Regions from separate parts of the Mus musculus genome. Here region 2 is reported to be linked to region 1. The links are microRNA targets in miRTarBase. Many come from high-throughput screens and were not tested one by one. Region 1 holds a microRNA gene; the other region holds the end of a gene's coding sequence.

What was found. The annotated mature microRNA mmu-miR-1949 reads CUAUACCAGGAUGUCAGCAUAGUU and lies in region 1 at 2,205-2,228, shown strand. An mRNA with a match to its seed (bases 2 to 7 or 8) in the 3' UTR can be bound and repressed. Matches are read on the target gene's strand: a 7mer-m8 pairs with bases 2 to 8, a 7mer-A1 pairs with bases 2 to 7 and ends in A, and an 8mer does both.
Region 2: the mRNA of Rbms3 is a reported target of mmu-miR-1949. Seed matches in the 3' UTR shown: 7mer-A1 at 2,578-2,584.

The regions. Positions count from the first base shown.
Region 1 is chr18:35,552,408-35,555,811 of GRCm38, forward strand. It overlaps Mir1949 (microRNA 1949), which reads left to right and starts at 2,160; the gene lies at 2,160-2,229. Snhg4 (small nucleolar RNA host gene 4) reads left to right here and starts at 1,003. Exons shown (of 4, transcript NR_038073.1): 1 at 1,003-1,062; 2 at 2,020-2,054.
Region 2 is chr9:116,575,790-116,579,193 of GRCm38, forward strand. It overlaps Rbms3 (RNA binding motif, single stranded interacting protein), which reads right to left. Exons shown (of 15, transcript NM_001172123.1): 15 at 1-2,913. The coding sequence ends at 2,907. Among named protein-coding and RNA genes, the nearest start is that of Gm39449, 52 kb to the left of the region's middle.

The DNA of each region.
Region 1 (3,404 bases):
GAATCAATTTGGAGCACCAAGTGTTTTCAAAGGGGTATGCTAGGGTTGTAATGCACAGGAACACCCCCACCCCCTTTCACTATGAAGGAACTGAGGAAATAGATAATAAATCATGTTGGCAGATGGCAAGGACAGTGGCTGATTCCAGGAGGCTTGCTTGACCATTATTGACAGGTGTCATAATCAACAGCCTCGGCTGCGAGTCAGAAAGCAATATCTGAAGGAGTTACAAAATAGATCCAGGAATTGCGATTGGTGGGCCTTGCTCTTATGGGCCCTGGGCAGCATCAACAGGACAACAGGACAATTGTTCAACAGGATAGAAGCATAATCACTACAGGGCAAAGGCAGCAACGTTAGTGTTCAGAAGAAATCCTGGTAACAGAGAAGTGTATACTTAGATCCAGGATATGGCCTTCTTTAGCTAGCTGTGTCACTGAAGCAGCCCAAATCTGCCAGAGAAAGCCAGTCTTAGCTGCTGCCACTCAGTTAAGGGTTTTCAATGAAGGACGTCAAGGCTGTGGTCCGCAGGGTTAGACTACAGCATTGACCGGCCTAATCTAACTAACATCCAGAAAAGACCCAGAGCACATAACCAAGCGACCTGCATGTGTGGGAGTTCCATTAACCAACTAACAACGCAGATGATGAAAGCCAGAAAGATCTGCACGTGGAGGTGCAAAATCGTGGGCTAGATCTGCAGAAACCGCGACCGCTAGCACTAGGTAGGCAGTAGGTCTGGCTCCCATTAGGACACAAGGGGCTTTAAATTTAGCAGCTGCAAACCCAGGACTCATATACTTAAGGAACCCGATGGGAGCTCAGGGAATGTAGCCTTTGTGAGGAAACTAGCCAATTCTCACACCCAGGTCTGTTCTTATAGGGATGTCGCTGTCCTCCCTGGTCAGCCTTGTGTGTTTCTAGTCCCGCCTCTCTTGGGCGGGACTCATCGCTCCGCCCTGCAACCGCCCCAGGGCGGGGCTCCCGCCGGCTCCCGGCTGCCCTTTCCACCGCGGCCTCTGCCGAGGTTGGTGTGTCCTGCGGAGCTCCGAGCACGTGCGGGTGAGTGAGGTCCCAAGGAGCAAGGGGTCTGGAGGTTTTACTAGCCCAGGCGAGAAGCGGGGGCGAGAAGGTTTCTGCCTGGGCAGGAAAAGGAATTGGGTTTTTTTTTTTTTAAATTTTTTATCTCCGGTCTTGGAGGTCATCTTAAAGGGAATAGCCCGAAGAGTCACCGCCAGTGAGGTACAGTACCCCTATCCAGCTAGGAAGTCACCTGGAATCTGGCTCCTTTAAGCGTTTCCGGAGCCCCAGACAAGGACCGAGAAAGGTTTCAGTGGAACACGTGTCCGGGGAGAACCAGATCTGCTTCAGCCCACGCCCTGAAGGGGCTTTTAGACCTAAACCATGAGTCCTGTATTCCTTTTCCTGTTCCATTAAATTGGTCAGAATTGGTTAGGGGTGAAGTTTGGACTTGGATAACTTGCCCTTAGATATGTTAAAATGATATGCAAACCTCAAGCACAAGCTCCCTCACACTACATCTACATTCAATTACTATTCGAAGTGTTAACTTTTATTGTCTTTAAAAATGTCCCGTATTTAAGCCTGTTGTCTAGATTTAGTCAGCCCCCACCCCCCATCTTTACTAAAGTGTCATTTTTAAAAGTGGTTCTCTTAAGTGCAGGATGGCTGGTTCTGGAGGCAGTCTTACTGTTTTGGCTTCCTACAAGTTAAGATTACAGGAATCAGCCACCAGAGCAGTGCACTGTGGTCCAATCTACCTGATGTACAGGGGTAATGGCTAATGCCGTTCTACAAATAAGAACTCCAGGGAGTGGACTTAGCTAGTGGAATGGTTATTTGGGGGTGGAGCTCCCAAAGTCACACTGTTTCTCTACTCTTGTTTCTTTGACTCAGCCCAACAAAGTGAAGGGGGTTTGAGGGCTGGAGATGGTTTTTTAACTTAATTGCACAGGTGTCGACAGGCTGACTCTAATCTGGGATGTTTTGATTTCATAGTGGCCAGCTGCCAGTTTGAGGCGATGTCTGCCCTGGTAAGTACAGTTCGGCTAGTTCCGGTTTGCCCCAGCTGTAGGCAGCTACCTAGGTTTCCTTGTACCTAGGCAAGTGTTACACTGCTGGGAGAACAGCAGCCAATAGCTGGTTGGCATTCTGGGCCTGGTTCATGCCACCTCTGTTGTTAACTATACCAGGATGTCAGCATAGTTGCTTACCCAGGAAGAGAAGCGCAAGCTCTGCAGGAAGAAACCTGAAGTCCAGATCTTCCGACATGGAGGTTACTTAAATCACAACTTGGAAATGGAACTGAGTAAAAGCCACTGAGGGAAATAAATAGGAAAAAAAAAAGTCAAGATTTAGTGCCTGTAAATGGTTGGGAGCGGACCTGAGGCAGTGGAGGGAGTTACTAGACTGCACGTTCACTAAAAATAGGATGTTTCCTCGCTCCACAATAATAAAAGCTAAGTCATGATCCCCTTTAGTGAGCTCCCTGTTGGGAATATTGAGTCTGGTGTTGTAGTATGCAGGGCCCCTTCAGACCGTCCAGGCAACCTAGATGCCCAATCTCTATTACTATTCTGCTCTCTAGCTCGTCAATAAATTTATGCATATTAATTGACCATGGGGTTCTGGGAACTAGCTTAGGTCAAACAGTACAATGAGCAGTTAGGCTCCCCCTTTTCTGTTATTCATGATGATTTTCTAAGAAATGCCTCAATTTTAGGCAAGTAGTGATCACTGAATGAATCTGGTGTTTAATAGAGCCAACATAGTTAGCTTTTGTGAGAGCATCCTGGTTTCCACAGGGAGACATAACCTTTACCTCCCTCATATCCTGAAGGGTTGGTGGCAGCCCCCACCTGTGTCCTTCCGTTTTCCCTGTGGACATGGGTGCTAACCAGGCTGCCTTACTTAACACCTACCTCGGCGACCCAACAGGACGCCCCGGGACTTGAGTAGCTCAGGGATAGTTGTAGCTGAGCTATACACAGGCTTCCTTAACCAGTTCCAGAAGTCTCTTACCTGACCCCCTGAATGTTTTTGGGGGTGAAAGCGCTTGCCAGGCCCACCAAGCACCCTAGGTTGAGCATCTGCTGACATTCCCATCAGTAGCCTCTACATTGCTCACCTTAGCTTCATCATTGCCCTCCCATGTACATCAATATCCCTTTTGCTCCTCAGTGTAGTACCTAACGCCCCCACCCCCTAACCAGTCAAGTTCTTACAGGAAAGTTACTATCCCATATTACCCACTCCTAGTTCTACCACTCTATCTACCTGCTCTTTGATTGAGGCCCATAATTACTTTACTACTGTTCCTTAATGGCACCAGCTTAGCCCTAAAAATACCCTCCAATAGGTCACTGAGCCTGCCATACCTTTGC
Region 2 (3,404 bases), not on the chromosome of region 1:
CAGGCATTTTGTTCTTTTACAGAAAGGACAAGAAAGTATGTTGGTTTCATATTCAAATGAATGATGCCCAGGATAATCCTCACTTACACAGAGAATTGAGAGAAGCCGAAGGAGAAAGAGAAAGTTGGGTCTCAGTGAGTTTTCTGAGAGCCCCTGGAACTTGAGGGCTTGCTTTCCATAGACATGTTCAAGTCCACCCTTCCAACACACAGGGAGCTGACTGGTGTGACAGAAGGATGTAGGCATCTCAGGTTCCCTCCAAAGCAGGGAAAGACATTAGGATAAAGGCGAAGCCCACAAGGTCTCTGCAGTGTGATGCTGTCTCCTTGGATACTGTTCTGTAATTAGTTTGATGACCAACATACAAGATGACTTTCTGGGTTTGAGCTCTCAGTTCACAGGGTTGCAAAGAAGAGAAGGAGGGTCTAGTGAGACAGCAGAATATGGACCTGCAGACTCATTAGTTGTGGGGCCTAATGGGACTGTGATTTGCCTTACAAGTTACTTTGTTTCTGAAAGCCTACTCTCTTTTCCTCTCCAGCGGCTCGGTTTTGTGTCCTCCCTATGCACTCAGATGGAGTAACCTGCAGAAAAGAGCTTTGCCTACTTGATTCAAAGTTTCATTCAAAAGCAGTTCTTGGGAATGGTCCCATGAACGGAGTTCCAAGCTACTGCTTCTAACTTCCAGGAAAACAAGATCCGTTGATCCCAGATCTGATGAGTCAGAACAGTTAGGACTCTCTCACTAAGCCAATTTAGATCATTTTAAGCCAAGTTTTGCATTATTCTAAGTGCAAATATCTCCTTTGGTTTCGGTGCTGGATCAACCCCTAGTTCTTGTGGTTCTTGTTGAAAAAAATTTATTGATTGTCAACTAAGGTGTTAAGAGCTTGCCCCTACTGCACTCAAAGGAGTCTTAGATCTTAACGGCCCCACTTATCTTGGAGAATTAAACCAAAATTTAAAGAGGGCTGTGTTGTCTCTCCTGTCAGTATCAAGATATGAGAACACAGCAGGCAGAGGAGGTAAAAGAAAAACACTCCCTCCCCAAACACAGAATCAAAGCGCCTGTGTGAGGAGGGCTGATAACTAAACCAAGGTGAGAAGACAAAAATTGGTTACTGTCAGTGTTTGAAAGAAACATTGTTACCAATTCGTGAGAACTTCTCTGGGGACCACAACCCACAGCTCCGAACATCACAGCCTTTCTGACAAATGGCCTTTCAGACATCAGAAGCATCCTTCAGGAAGCATCCTTAGCCTGAAGTTCAGATGAGGGCATTTCAATCTCTTGAACAACTGACGGGGTGTATTGGTGGCCGTCGATCCACTGCTGAGAGCGCTGGTCAAGAGATAGCAAAGCTCACAGGACTTAAAGCCGCCTGCATCCATTCATCCACTGGGTCTCAGATTCTTCATGCTTAAACTGCTGAGCAGGGTAGGAACAAACTTCAACTATTGACAAATACACATTTTTAGAAAAAACAATGTTTTTTTTTTTCTTTTTTCTTTTTTTGTGGTATGTAACACACTAGTGGAAGGTAGTTTAAATGAAGTTAGAACTGGTCCGGCCATGTAGGTCAAACAAAACTTCAAAGAAAGAAAAGCAGTGTCTACCATCACGCCTGTAACAGGGTCTCACTTCATCTTTGGTATAAAATAGGCCATCCATAGGCTGCAATTGACCACAACTAAGAAAGACTACAGAAATTGTCAACAATTTCTCTATCTATTGCTTTTTTTTGTTTTTGTTTTGTTTTGTTTGTTTTTTTGTGTGTGTGTTTTTGTTTTATTTTTTATTTTTTTGCACTTTTTGACCATAAGCGTCTATCTACTTAAGTTTTGTTTTGAGTGCTCTTATGCTAGGTTTTGCAATGTGACAAGCAAAGCTGACTAAAACCTGACAAAGCTCATAGAAAAAACTGCAGATAAAAAGCACTGACGCTTTCGCTAGCAACCACGCTCTTGTAAATTAAAAAAAAAAAAATCTGCATTCTGCCCCCCAAACTTGCATTATTTCTAATGCAGTTGTTTTTAAAACCAACGTGAATAACTTTACCATAAAATGTCTTTTAGCCTTTTAGAGTGATTGTGTCAAAGTTCATGAGAAGTCCCAGCGTTTCCAAACTCTTGCGGTTGCCTTGGTTTCTTTTATCAACAAATTTTCTTCAAATGAAGAAAACACATTTTCCTTCAAACTGTACAGTTTTGTTTTTTTTTTTTTCTTTTTCTTTTCCACCCTAAAAACTCAGTCTCCATCTTCTATGTCAGTGAAGGCTGGCACAAAAACTCAATTCTTTCTTGATTTTTTTTTTTTAACAAGACGCTGAAAGCATGCCTCTGGAGCCTTTGACGTCCTTAAAAATTAAGGCAATTAAGATTCAAGATAAACCTTACCTAAATATTTCTAAGAAAACATAAAATATTTATATATATATAAAAAACCCAGGAGGTTCAAACAAGAAAAGAAAAGAAGAGGAAAAAAATAGCTTAATTACTGAGGAAAATAATTTTCTTAAACATCTGGTTGCCCAACTCTTGACATTGGTGTTTCTACTTTTTAAAAAACAAATCTACTTATACCTTCAGGCAAATTCTGTTTTTCCAAAGACAGCATCAACTTGTGATGTTTGCCATCCCCCACCCCTTTCTGGGATTTGTTTTTTCCCGTTAATTAAAAAAAAAAGACAAAAATAAGTGTTAGACCACACGGAGGAACCATTCGCACAGCACATAAAAATTTTGTTTTCTTTGAGTAAAATATAAAATAATAAAAAAAATAATAAAAATAAAAGAAGAAGAAAGCTTTCCCTTGGCGCCTGTGCAAACCGGAGGCCAACTAACTTCTTGCTCAGTGACGTTTCTTCATTGAAGGTAAAGGTTCAGGCAGACATCCTCACTTCTGTCTATGGTCTGCAAGACAAACAGGGAAGAGAGGTTATTACATCTGAGTTTTTCTTCCGTTGTTTCCTGGGACATCTTGTTAGAGGAGCCCAAGCTTTTCGTCATGCTAAAAGAAGCAGTGTATCAGGCATATTAACTAGCCTATGAGGGGGTTCAGTTCTGTTACCTTCTTATAAATTCCACACTTGAGCAAGAGTTTGCTCATGGCAAAACCGAAGTTGATGGACTTAGCTATTTTTAAAGATCTACTTATTTTGTTGTTGTGGGTATAAGTGCATGACTGTATTATGAAAATGTAGCATATGATTGCTGCACTGTCAGAGACCAGGAGAGGACATCAGACTGCTTTGAAGTGGAGTTAAAAGATGGTTGCAAACCACTGGACTGAGCTTGGGATCCTAATGGAGAAGTTGGAGAAGGGACTGAAGGAGCTGAGGGGGGTTTGCAGCCCCATGGAGGGAGCAACAGTGTCAACAGGCCAGAACCCCCAGAGCTCCCAG